2 linked regions of the Danio rerio genome follow. The protein of the gene in region 2 purifies or fractionates together with the protein of the main gene of each other region. This does not show direct contact. Links are inferred from orthologs where the notes say so. Each region holds a gene or a part of one and is shown on either strand. Other genes may lie near its edges.

Region 1 (5,722 bases), on a different chromosome or scaffold from region 2:
TGACATTTTATTTAAAAATAAATAAAATTTCCCCAGAACGAGTGGAAACTGTTGTTGTGGTTTTCCGTTTCACTTCCCATGTAAAAAGAACATGCTTTGTTATTTTTATGGAAGGGAAGTCTCTGTGTAGTTACATTTTTATTCTGTGTAGTTACATTTTTAAATGTTTGTTTTGTAGTACTGGGCCTTCTCCGATATCCAAACTGGACGTGTCCTGACCAAAGTCACTGATGAGACTGCTGGATGTGGTATGTTTTATTATTTTAGCTGCACTGTGTCAGATTTTGAATAAGTGTTTTTTGAATGCTATTTTTATAAGTGTGGAAACTGAAACAAGCTCTCTTTTAGAATTTGTCAAGTTAGGATAAAAATGAAATGTAATGATTTACTTCAAAATATTTCACTCAACATATTTAATACAGGCATTTTGTACATGATTATAAGCCATGTTACAAAAAAAAAAAAGATAGTATTTTTAGGGTAATGACTTCATAAAGTATAAGGAAAAACATTAAAAATTTGATAATAAAATCTTAAAATGTAAAAAAAAAAAAATTCAGTTTGGTACAAAACAGCCAAAAGGACAGCTATGGCCAAGTAGTACTGGTAGGTCTAGTGTTAATTTGTCTCTTCATTTAAAAAGCATTTCTGCCTCATTCTTTCAGCTTTAACCTGTGCACAGTTCCATCCTGATGGTCTGATTTTCGGCACTGGTACGGGCGATTCTCAGATTAAGATCTGGGATCTTAAGGAACGAACCAATGTAGCCAACTTCCCTGGACATTCAGGTCCAGTCACGGCCATTGCCTTCTCTGAGAATGGATACTATCTAGCCACTGGTGAGTCATGTGATCTGTCTGTGTCCATTGTTCAATCTGCATTTTACCTGTTTTCTGAAGTAGTTATTTAAATACTGTTTTACAGTACATTGTTGCAAATCAGCCTTACAGTTATTAATGCAAAAAATGACAGAATTAAGGGCCTCCATCAAATATGATCTGAATCATGCTATAAAGAAGCCATGGTGACTATTTCAGTGTTGATTAAGTTCTGTGTTGTTTAGCAAGTTTTAGTTTACTTCTCTGCAGCTCTAGAGAACTAGAGTTATTACGAAAAAAAACGGAAATTAAAATTATTAGAAAAATGAAACATTACATTTAATGCAGAGGTTTGCTTGAGACATTATAACATCTTACTGTAATTAAGTTCTTAAAGATTATATAAATTCTTACAGTTTATATATTTTTGTAATTTTACTGCATTGCTGCAAAGTAGGTGTTCTGTTTGCTTAACCCTGAACTCTGCGTTGATTAACCCTTAACTTGCTTACTCAAAGTATGTGCACCAAAACTTCTTTTGAGAGTAAGTTCTATTAACAGAACTAGATTAATCATTAGTCATGAATCATTGTTACCTTAAGTGTTTGATGTAGGCTTCTACTGTGTGTATATAATATAATGATAGTGTAGTCCAGTAATATGTGCGTGTCAGGAAGCTGCTGTCAACATCCAGGATAATGAAGTGGATTTGAATTCATGCACACACTTTTTACACTTTCTCTTTTGGAAGTTGTTTTTAATGATTGGTTGGTTTTGCTTCCATATTTGTTAGGGGGGGAATATATTTCTGTAATAAGATTGCATAACCGGTGTATTTTATTAAAAGATAGTAAGATAGTAAGAAGTAAATAATAGTAAAAATAAATTAAACATATTTTGAGTGTTTAACTTACAAAATAAATTAAGAAATAGTAATATTATATGCTAATAATAGTAGAAATTAAGAAATAGTAGAAATTAAGAAACACACACAACCATATATATTAGGCATGGGCTTGTATGAGATTCGGACGCTATGATAACCTTGGTTATGTTCTTTTTAAATGTCTGGGTAAAAACATCAGTTTTTTATACTACTAAACATGTATTTCATTTTAAGAGACATAATATTGTGAAACAGTAAATGTGTCTAATCAATAAAATAAATCATTGATTTCTGGTATATTAGTTTTAAAAACACAGATTTCTTTTAAAAGGCATCTTTGGATTGCATTTTGTCTTTGAATATTTGTAAGCCACTGCACTGTTCAGGTCTATAGTTGGGTGTATCAGTGTTTCTCAATCACATTCTTGGAGGCCCATCAGCTTAGCACATTTTCCATGTCACCTTGACCAAACGCACCTGATTCCAGTCATTAGCTCATTAGCAGAGACTGAAAAACCTGTAATGGGTGTGACAGACATAGGAGAGATCCAAAGCATGCAGTGTTTGTGGTCCTCCAGGATTGTGGTTGAGAAACACTGGTCTATAGGATGTTGATGTATAAGTGAGTTTAAGAGGTAGGTAGTTCAAAAGTTAGGTAGGGGGTGTGGTAGGTTGGTAGGAAGTTTAGTAGGTTGGTAGGAAGTTTAGTAGGTTGGTAGGAAGTTTAGTAGGTTGGTAGCAAGTTTGGTAGGTTGGTAGCAAGTTTGGTAGGTTGGTAGCAAGTTCGGTAGGTCGGAGAAAGTTCGGTAGGTCGGTAGTAAGTTCGGTAGGTCGGTAGTAAGTTCGGTAGGTAGGTCGGAAGTTCGGTAGGTAGGTAGGAAGTTCGTGTGAGAGAGTAAGTCTGAAATAGAGAGAGAGTGGGTGTGAGAGGTTGTTAGGTAGGTAGGTAGGAAGATGGGTAGGTTGGTAGGTAGGACAATTTGGTAGGTAGGCAGTTGGGTATGTAGGTAGGTACAAAGCTAAATGGGTAGGTAGAAAGGTAGTTAAAAGTTAGGCAAGTAAGTAGTTAGGTAGGTTGGTAGGAAGCTAAAGGTAGAGGCTAGGTTGGTAGGAAGTTGGGTTGGTTGGTTGGTAGGTAGGTAGGTAGGTAGATAAGAAGCTAACTAACCCTAAAACGTAACCTGCTGCATATTTAGAGCAATTGTTTCTTACTATAAAAGATATCTTGGTTTTTGGACCTGAAAGCTGCAGTTATTCACTTACATGGCACTTATACGTACATGTCCAATTACCTGCTTTCCGCAGTAGCCCCCAGTTTTTATCATGACAGATGTTAACTCTGAGCAAGCTCTGCCCATTTGGCTCTGCATTGAGTATCACTTGTGTTCACTGTCATGCAAACTACATTTTTTTTGTATGCAGGTGCTCAGGACAGTTCACTGAAGCTGTGGGATCTGAGGAAGCTGAAGAACTTCAAGACAATCACTCTGGACAACAATTACGAGGTCGAATCCCAGAAATATCACTGTCAAATGGTTTTAATCAGTTTGCCAGTTGTTCTGCTTACAGGACGTTTGTCTAATATTTTTGCTGTTTTTTTGATCATGTAGGTCAAGTCCCTGGTGTTTGATCAGAGTGGAACATATCTAGCTGTGGGAGGGTCAGACATCAGAGTTTATATCTGCAAACAGTGGTCCGAGGTCCTCAACTTCTCCGGTGAGTTGAACAACGCTTTGAAGTTTGTCCAAAATTGGGTTTGTTGTTTAATTAAGAGCTTATTCTGTGTCCTCAAACTAATTTAATTTCTTTTTCTTCTTCCTGTAGATCATTCTGGTCTGGTGACTGGTGTGGCTTTTGGTGAACATGCTCAGTTCCTGGCTTCCACAGGCATGGACAGAAGTCTCAAGTTCTACAGCCTGTAACAGAAACAATACTCCCACAACAAATACATCTCTCTGTACGTGTGCATGTGTATACATAGATATGCATTCACTATCATAAACATGGTTGTAGTGATTAATTCAGAAACATTCAGTACACCTTGACTTTGTCACCAGTAAATTCATCTTTTTGTCAATTATTGCTTTAAAACAAATTTTGGCAATAAGGGTTAATGTCAGTTGTTTTTTCGTCTACCTTTTAATCTTTTGATTGTAGGCTGGCAAACTTTGTTAGTGTCCCATGACTTCTCTCTTTTTTTATCCTTCTGTGGACTATCATCAAATGTGAAATAGATTCCAATAAAGTTTAAATTTGTTTTTAATCTATTGTGTATGAATCTGTTGACTCATCGTTTTCATCCATGACAGGCACCAGGGGCCTGTTTCAGTAAGGAGGTTCAACCAACTCTAAGTTTAAACTTGAACTCTGATTTGATTTACAGAGAGATTAAAAACTCAGAGTTTTCAGTTTCAGAATAGCTGATCTGAGTTAGGTCAATCAACATTGAGTAGACCAACTCAAGAGTTAAGTGCGCACACCGCAACTATAAAAAGGCATTATCAATGGAGCGCAGATATTACAATTCACCATGGCAACATCTGAAAAAAAGAGATCACCATTTCTTTCTCCAGCTGAACTTGATGTGCTCATGCAAAGTTACAGCAAATATGACCATATATTTTAAAAAGTAACAATGTAACAGACGGTTAGCGTGGGAAAACATAGCTGCTGTTAATGCTTAGTTTTACATCTAAAGTATTTAAATATTTTAGTATAATAAAAAAGGAATGTAACGTGTGACATTTATAAAAAAAAAAAACATGTTCCCACTTTTATACACGTTGATCAGTTTTAATAGATTTAAAGTGCAGTTGTCTGCCTCTATTATTGTGATAAAGGGTTAATATGGCATTTAGAATGTAAGCAGAACTAAAAAATAGTTTTAGAATGAGTAATAATTCCATTAATTACAGTTCATTTTGAAATATTAACAGTAAAAACAGATTTTACCGCAGTAAAAGTTGTCAATCTTTTTTTATTTAATAAATGTAGCTACTTGTGCCTCAGACGACATTGATGATACACAATGAACGCGTGGGGGCGTTTCAAGCCATGAGACACGGAGAACAGATGCTCTTGACGCTCTGGAGGTAATTAATATACATTAATACTGAAACGGTTAATGCAATTTAGAATGACCAAAACAACGTTTCCGATGTTCTACAGTGTGCTCAGCCTGCTGGTTTGTCCATTCACACACATTTTCATCATCATATATTCTCTTATAACAAACCTTTTTAATGTACATACTTTAATTTGTTAAGTTAAAGTGTTTCCAGCGCAGTTTATGTGCATCTTATTAAATATAAAGTTTATCGTACTCCGTTATGCTCATATTTCATAATGTTTATTTTTAAAAGTTATGTGCATCATGACGTTTCCATCAATCGTTTTTTATACGCATCTCTAAAATGTGCATTAGAATAGATGGGTGGAAATGTAAGGCTAAGGTGAGAAATATAGCTTCGTCTTTAAAAAAAAAATGGAGGACACCGACAGAAACTCGAGTTTAGAGAATAAAACCTGCTCCTGACCAGGTTAAGGTCACAGAGTAAGTTTCACAGAGAGTTTCTAAGGTAACTGACTTTGAGTTAAAGTGACCTCTCTTTCAGACACAGGCTTGACTTACCCTGCTTTCTCGAGTTTGACAAACCTGCCATTTTGAAACGGAAAACCCAGAGTTTCTCTTATTTCAGGGTTAAACTACTCAAGTTTTCATTTAATCTCCTTTCTGAAACGGGCCCCAGGTGGGTAAAACAAGGCATTAATAGGATTACAATGGTACTAATGTAGTCAAACATTAAAAGACCAGTTAATTTACACATTATTGATACAAAATATACAGGGGATAAACAGATTCAATGTTGAATACAAAGTGTTAAATGGTATGTTTTACAGTTGAAAACCATAGTAATTTATAAGTCTGAATGGTGTTTCAGCATAGTCATAGTCTGGGCTTGCCTTTAGTATGCAATAATGTACTGTCAAAAAAGCTCAGAGGCTGTACTTCGTCAGC
Region 2 (6,024 bases):
GTGATTTGTTTGGAATCAGAAATAAGAAAGGCACAAGTAAATAAGGAAGTGTTGGTGGGAGTATTTTTCGATATTGAAAAAGCATACGACATGATGTGGAGAGAAGGACTTTTAATTAAATTAGAAAAAATGGAAATTAATGGAAAAATGTATAACTGGATCAAGAATTTTTTGTTAAAAAGAACAATACAAGTTAGAGTGGGTTCTGCATTCTCCCAAATATATAAGGTAGAGAACGGAACACCACAAGGGAGTGTTAGCAGCCCTATCCTATTTAATATCATGATAAATGACATCTTTTCAAAAATGGAGTTGGGGATCGGGAGATCTTTATATGCAGATGATGGTGCGCTATGGAAGAGGGGAAGAAATGTAGTTCATGTAGAAAGGTGTTTACAGAATGCAGTGAGGACAGTACAAGATTGGGCGGATGAGTGGGGGTTTAGATTTTCTACTGATAAAACTCAGGTTATTTGTTTTTCAAAAAAGAAAGTTAATCCAAATATAAATATTAATATATACAGACAAAAAATAGAACAGGTATCAGTAATTAGATATTTAGGAATGTGGATGGATGTAAAACTGAATTTTAATATGCATATTCAAAAAATAATAGATAAATGTAAAAAAGGAATTAATGTAATGAGGTGTCTGGCAGGAGCTGAATGGGGTGCATGTCGTTTCTCGCTTAAAAGAATCTATAATGCACTGGTAAGATCTACTATAGATTATGGATGCGTAGTATATAGTTCCGCAGCTAAAACTCAGTTGTTGAAAATAGATGCGATTCAATCTCAGGCACTAAGAATATGCTGTGGAGCACTAAGAACTACACCCATTATAGCATTACAAGTAGAGATGGGGGAAATGCCTCTAAAAATTAGAAGAATTAAGTTAAAAATGAGATATTGGGTTAGCATTAAAAGCCAAGAAGAGAGGCACCCAGTAAAAACAGTACTAAAGGAATGTTGGGAATATGGACATAAAAAGATAGATAGTTTTGGTTGGACAGTAAAAGACGAGGCTCAAAATATGGGCATAAGAGACATCAATTTAGCCCCTGCTGTGCCAACCTCTGCGATTCCGCCTTGGCTTTTCCATAAACCAGTAGTCGATTTATTACTACATGAGGAAAAACACAAAAATAATATGTTAAATGAAAAAGAAATACAACAATACATAAATCAGTCATATTTCAATTATTTACAGATATATACAGATGGGTCAAAAGATCCTAAAGATGAAAAAACGGCAGTAGTAGTTTACATCCCAAAATTCAATATTAAAATATCAAAAAGAATAACGGACCGACTTTCTGTGTACACTACAGAAATTGTAGCTATACTTCTTGCTCTTCAGTGGATAGAAGACGTGAAACCATTAAGATCAGTAATATGCTCCGATTCTCTGTCAGTACTAAACAACTTAATTACTGGAACATCTAAGGCAAGACAGGACATAATGAATGAGATAATGCAAAATTTATTCAGAATCAGACAGGGTGGACTTTTTGTAAGCTTCTTGTGGATTCCTGGTCATATGGGAGTAGTAGGTAATGAAGAGGCAGACCAACTTGCAAAGGAAGCATTACAACATACTCAGATAGAAATAAAAATAAAAATAAGTAAGTCAGAGGTAAAAAACATAATTGCAAAAGAAACAGGTAGAATGTGGCAAAGGGAGTGGGATAATGGAGAAAAAGGCAGACATATGCATAATATTCAAGGATGTGTGGGTGGTACTAGAAATAAGTTTAGTAATAGAAGGAATGATGTGGTAATAACTAGGTTGCGTGCTGGTCATTGTTTGCTAAACCAGTATAAGTTCAGAATAGGGAAGCACGAGACAGGATGTTGTGATAAATGCGGGAAAATAGAAACATTAGAACATGTAATTACAGAATGTGTGGCATATGACAATCAGAGATATCAGTTAGTTCAAGGATTAAGTATTTATGGGATTAAAAATTTGTCATTTCAGACCCTATTAGGAAACAGTTCAAATCAAGTTGAAATAATAATGCAATTAATTAATTACTTAAAGGAAACAAAATTGATTAATAGAATTTAAGAATAGCTTAGCAAAATAAGGAAATAAAATTTACTATGATTTTTAACTAGTATTTTTTTTCTTTCTTTCTCTCCTCTCCTCCTACTGTTATTACTGTTCTCTCTTCCCTATGGTAATCTCATCCCTCCATTCGTATCATATATCTTTAGTACTCATGCTTTTTCCAACATTATGCGCTCCACACTCCTATCCAGTAGGTGGCGGAAATGCACCATTTAAGTTGGTCTGCCAACCGCCATTAACCCCATAAGAAGAAGAAGAATTTCATTGGTTGTCCGTTTTGTGTTGTGTGTGTGGCTGCTGGCTAACGAGAGGTAAGTGAGTTATGTAAAACTGCCTTCATAATTTGTATAACTTTAGCCATTCTTGCGACTTTCAGTGTTCATTATTTTATAACGGTTGAGTCTTTAGCTTCAAATAATCTTTCATTTTACACAGTAACGTTTGAATCGGTCCGAGAAGAGCCAGTAGTGTCGCAGTCATGCCGCCTGGGCCTGTGCAGATCATGCAGCCGGAGCTGAATAACAAGGTATGAAGCTTTCAGAATTTATTACTTTCATAGACACGATGGGTAGGTTTATCCGATTTATATTCATCTGCTTACATTTTTCGTCTTTCATAAGTATAATACTGGGCATTATTGCAATTTTATAATTTATTGTTTTGAGTAGAAGCATTACTTGTTTAAAGTTAAACTTTAATGTATATGTTATCTGTTTTGTTATCTTTTGTAGCAGTCATTGTTGTATATATTCCCAGCATAATGTTGTTTTATTATTAGTATAAATATAATATAATATAAAAATATATATTATGTAAATGTACTGTTTTATTTCCCAAAATCGATGTGGTCAAAGACAACCATTTTAAAAGATAACGTAGTAGTGTCTACTTTATTGTTTAGAAAAAAAGGTTAATAAAAATTAAGATCTAAAAATATATATACTTTTGTAAAAAATGACAACAACAACAAAAGTAAACTTACATGTACTTATTAAAATAAGTAAATGATCCTTCTGCATTTTATTGTTTTTTCTTTAAGTAAAAATTTGGATAATAGATAGTTAAATTTGAAATATTTCATTTGCTTATTTTGGGGGCTGCAATGTGATCTTTAAATGTTTTTCTAATGTCATCAAAATATTCTTCAGATGTTAATTGAATAATTATTCTTATTTTTCTTTATAATGAAAAAAATATAAATACACAAATTACTTGTTAGTTTATAAATATACATATATTGTTTTGATTCTTAAATTAAAAATGAATATGCAAATTCTATATACAAATAATATTTAAAAATTAGGGGTGTTTGAATTGAATGTAAATTTATTGATATTTATTGTAAAAACTAATTAGTTTGTAATATAAATTTCAGTTTATTATCAGATTCTGTTTTATTGATGTTGTGAAATGAGAAAGGACAGTTGTGCAATTATAATAAAAAGTAATAATTTTAAGGACCATTTACAGTGAGAAGTGTATTCTGTTGTACAATAGAAACACTTTTGGCTGCAGTAAATCCAATTCGCTTGATTTTTTTCTGTTTATCTGATATGGTATTCTCACATAACATGGTAAAGTTTCTGAGATTGACACCACAAGCATCACCCATGCTTCAATATTTGTGTAGTAAATGAAACTGTGGCATTCATTCAGAAACACGCCTCATAAATATAGACTTTGTATTTAACTTATATTTTAGTGGTCTTAAAATTCTCACACAATAGTACACATCACAACTTCATTTTAAGGACATGATTAGTTTTAATGTATTAATTCAAAGCTTGTAACATTTAATGACATTGTATAATTAATTCCATATTTATGACTGTATTCTGTGATTTTTGTTTGTGTTTTCTGTATTATTTTGCTCATATTAAATAAGCTATGAGATGTTTTAATCAACAGCCCGAAGAACCGAAAGAAGAAACTCCAGCCACAAAGCCCATAGTGGGAATCATCTACCCTCCTCCTGAAGTGCGAAACATCGTTGACAAGACTGCCAGCTTCGTAGCCAGGTTTGACATCCTACCACATATATCATGTAGTGCAGTATTTCATTTGTGTACTTTTATTAAATCAATAATTAATTCCATTTATTTTGTCAAAGGAATGGACCCGAGTTTGAGGCCAGAATTCGACAGAATGAGATCAACAACCCAAAGTTCAACTTCCTCAACCCGAGCGACCCATACCATGCCTACTACCGACACAAGGTCAATGAGTTCAAGGAGGGCAAAGCTCAGGAACCATCCGCAGCCGTTCCTAAAGTCATGCAGCATCCTCAGCAGCTTCCTCAGAAGGTCAGCAACTTCTCTGTGGCTTTATATAAATATTATCAATATTATAGATGTAGACAGATAGTTTTATAATAGTTAAAATCAAGCCATAATCCAGCAGACAGATATAAAAAATTTTAATAGCTTTCTATGTTATAAAGAGCTTATGTTTTGTGATTATTTAGGTCCAAGCACAGGTGATCCATGAGACGGTGGTGCCAAAAGAGCCTCCACCTGAGTTTGAGTTCATTGCTGACCCTCCCTCCATCTCAGCCTTTGACCTGGATGTGGTGAAACTGACCGCACAGTTTGTTGCCCGTAATGGCCGTCAGTTTCTCACACAGCTGATGCAGAAGGAACAGAGGAACTACCAGTTTGACTTTCTCCGGCCACAGCACAGTCTGTTCAACTACTTCACAAAACTAGTGGAGCAGTATACAAAGGTAAATTATACTTTTTAGAAATGCTGAGGGCTTATTGGTTTGCAAAGAGATTAGAGATGTTCAGTATTTTTTCCTCTAATAATATTTTTGATTAATGTTTAAAAAAATGCAAGCTCAATAAATTAGCAAAAAAATTATTAAAACAATTATTCCATTTGTGAAAGCATTTAGAAGATACATTAGGGCTGGGGAAAAAATTGGTGATTTCCATGCACATTTTGTCAATAAAGCAATAAAAGTAAAGTAAGCTACATTCAGCTGGAGCAGCATTTGCCACACATAATTCACTATAAAGCTACACAAAACTTGCAACACTTGATGAATCTGTAGTTGTGTCTTTATTAATTAGTCTGAATTAGCGAAAGCAGTTAAAGTTTCCTTTTTAACACAATACTCTTTGGATTTCTTTTAGTTTCTGTAAGAGCAGCCTCTGGCATTTAGAGGAGATTTATTGCTGATCATGCTGTGCTTTTCTGACAATATGTGCATGACAAATGTAGCTTTGCTAAATGATGTTTGGGATTTACTTTAGATTAATTGACCAGTCCTAAGATATATTGTAGTTCGGTAATATCACACAAACAAATACTTTTTCCCTGAAAATCAATTGCAAATGTGAAACCCCCAAATGCAAAATACAGGTTACAAATACAGGTTATTCAAGTGTGACATTAAATAACTTGTTTGATTGGCTTTTTGCAGGTTTTGATTCCTCCAAAAGGTCTTCTGCTGAAACTGAAGAAAGAAGCAGAGAATCCTCGAGAGGTCTTGGACCAGGTAATCAAATATAGAAATGAACACCAAAATTTAAAATTTCAGGTCACACGGGGTGTGAATGAAAAAAAAAAAAAAAAACATAAGATATTGGTAGACAAAATCATATTTAGAGTTTTTTTGTGCCCTAAACATACTCTTTGAGCTTTGAATGATTGCAGTTTAACCAGTGAAGTTTCATGGATTTTTTTAACAATGTCTTTGATTCTTTTTTTTTGAACTTTTAATGTCTCACGAGTATTGCTGCCTATACATGACAATATCTAAATCTTACATTTATGATGAGATAAAATCTTTAAATATCAACTCTTTATGTTCTAAAGAACAAAAAAGGTTTCTGAGGATTGGAACAACATGAGCATAAGCAATTAATAATAGATTTTTAAAAATCTGGGTGAACTAACCTTTAGATAAAACGTTTTAGAAGACACATTTTACCAAAGCCATTTACATTT

The links. Proteins that work in one complex are often made in the same cells at the same time.
Region 1: the proteins of sf3a1 (region 2) and prpf19 fractionate together in Homo sapiens (co-fractionation; 3 studies listed by BioGRID and IntAct, with this or other methods). This does not show direct contact. The link is inferred for Danio rerio from reciprocal best matches to the Homo sapiens genes SF3A1 and PRPF19.

Annotation. Positions count from the first base shown.
Region 1 is NC_133189.1:18,671,708-18,677,429, forward strand, and holds the end of prpf19 (pre-mRNA-processing factor 19), read left to right. Parts: intron 1-178; coding exon 179-248; intron 249-665; coding exon 666-839; intron 840-3,126; coding exon 3,127-3,209; intron 3,210-3,314; coding exon 3,315-3,420; intron 3,421-3,528; coding exon 3,529-3,626; 3' UTR 3,627-3,967; downstream 3,968-5,722. UniProt on the Homo sapiens protein: Ubiquitin-protein ligase which is a core component of several complexes mainly involved pre-mRNA splicing and DNA repair. Required for pre-mRNA splicing as component of the spliceosome.
Region 2 is NC_133183.1:43,421,478-43,427,501, forward strand, and holds the start of sf3a1 (splicing factor 3A subunit 1), read left to right. Parts: upstream 1-2,366; 5' UTR 2,367-2,384; exon of another isoform or gene 2,385-2,388; intron 2,389-2,508; 5' UTR 2,509-2,551; coding exon 2,552-2,599; intron 2,600-3,981; coding exon 3,982-4,091; intron 4,092-4,183; coding exon 4,184-4,376; intron 4,377-4,537; coding exon 4,538-4,795; intron 4,796-5,497; coding exon 5,498-5,572; intron 5,573-6,024. UniProt on the Homo sapiens protein: Component of the 17S U2 SnRNP complex of the spliceosome, a large ribonucleoprotein complex that removes introns from transcribed pre-mRNAs.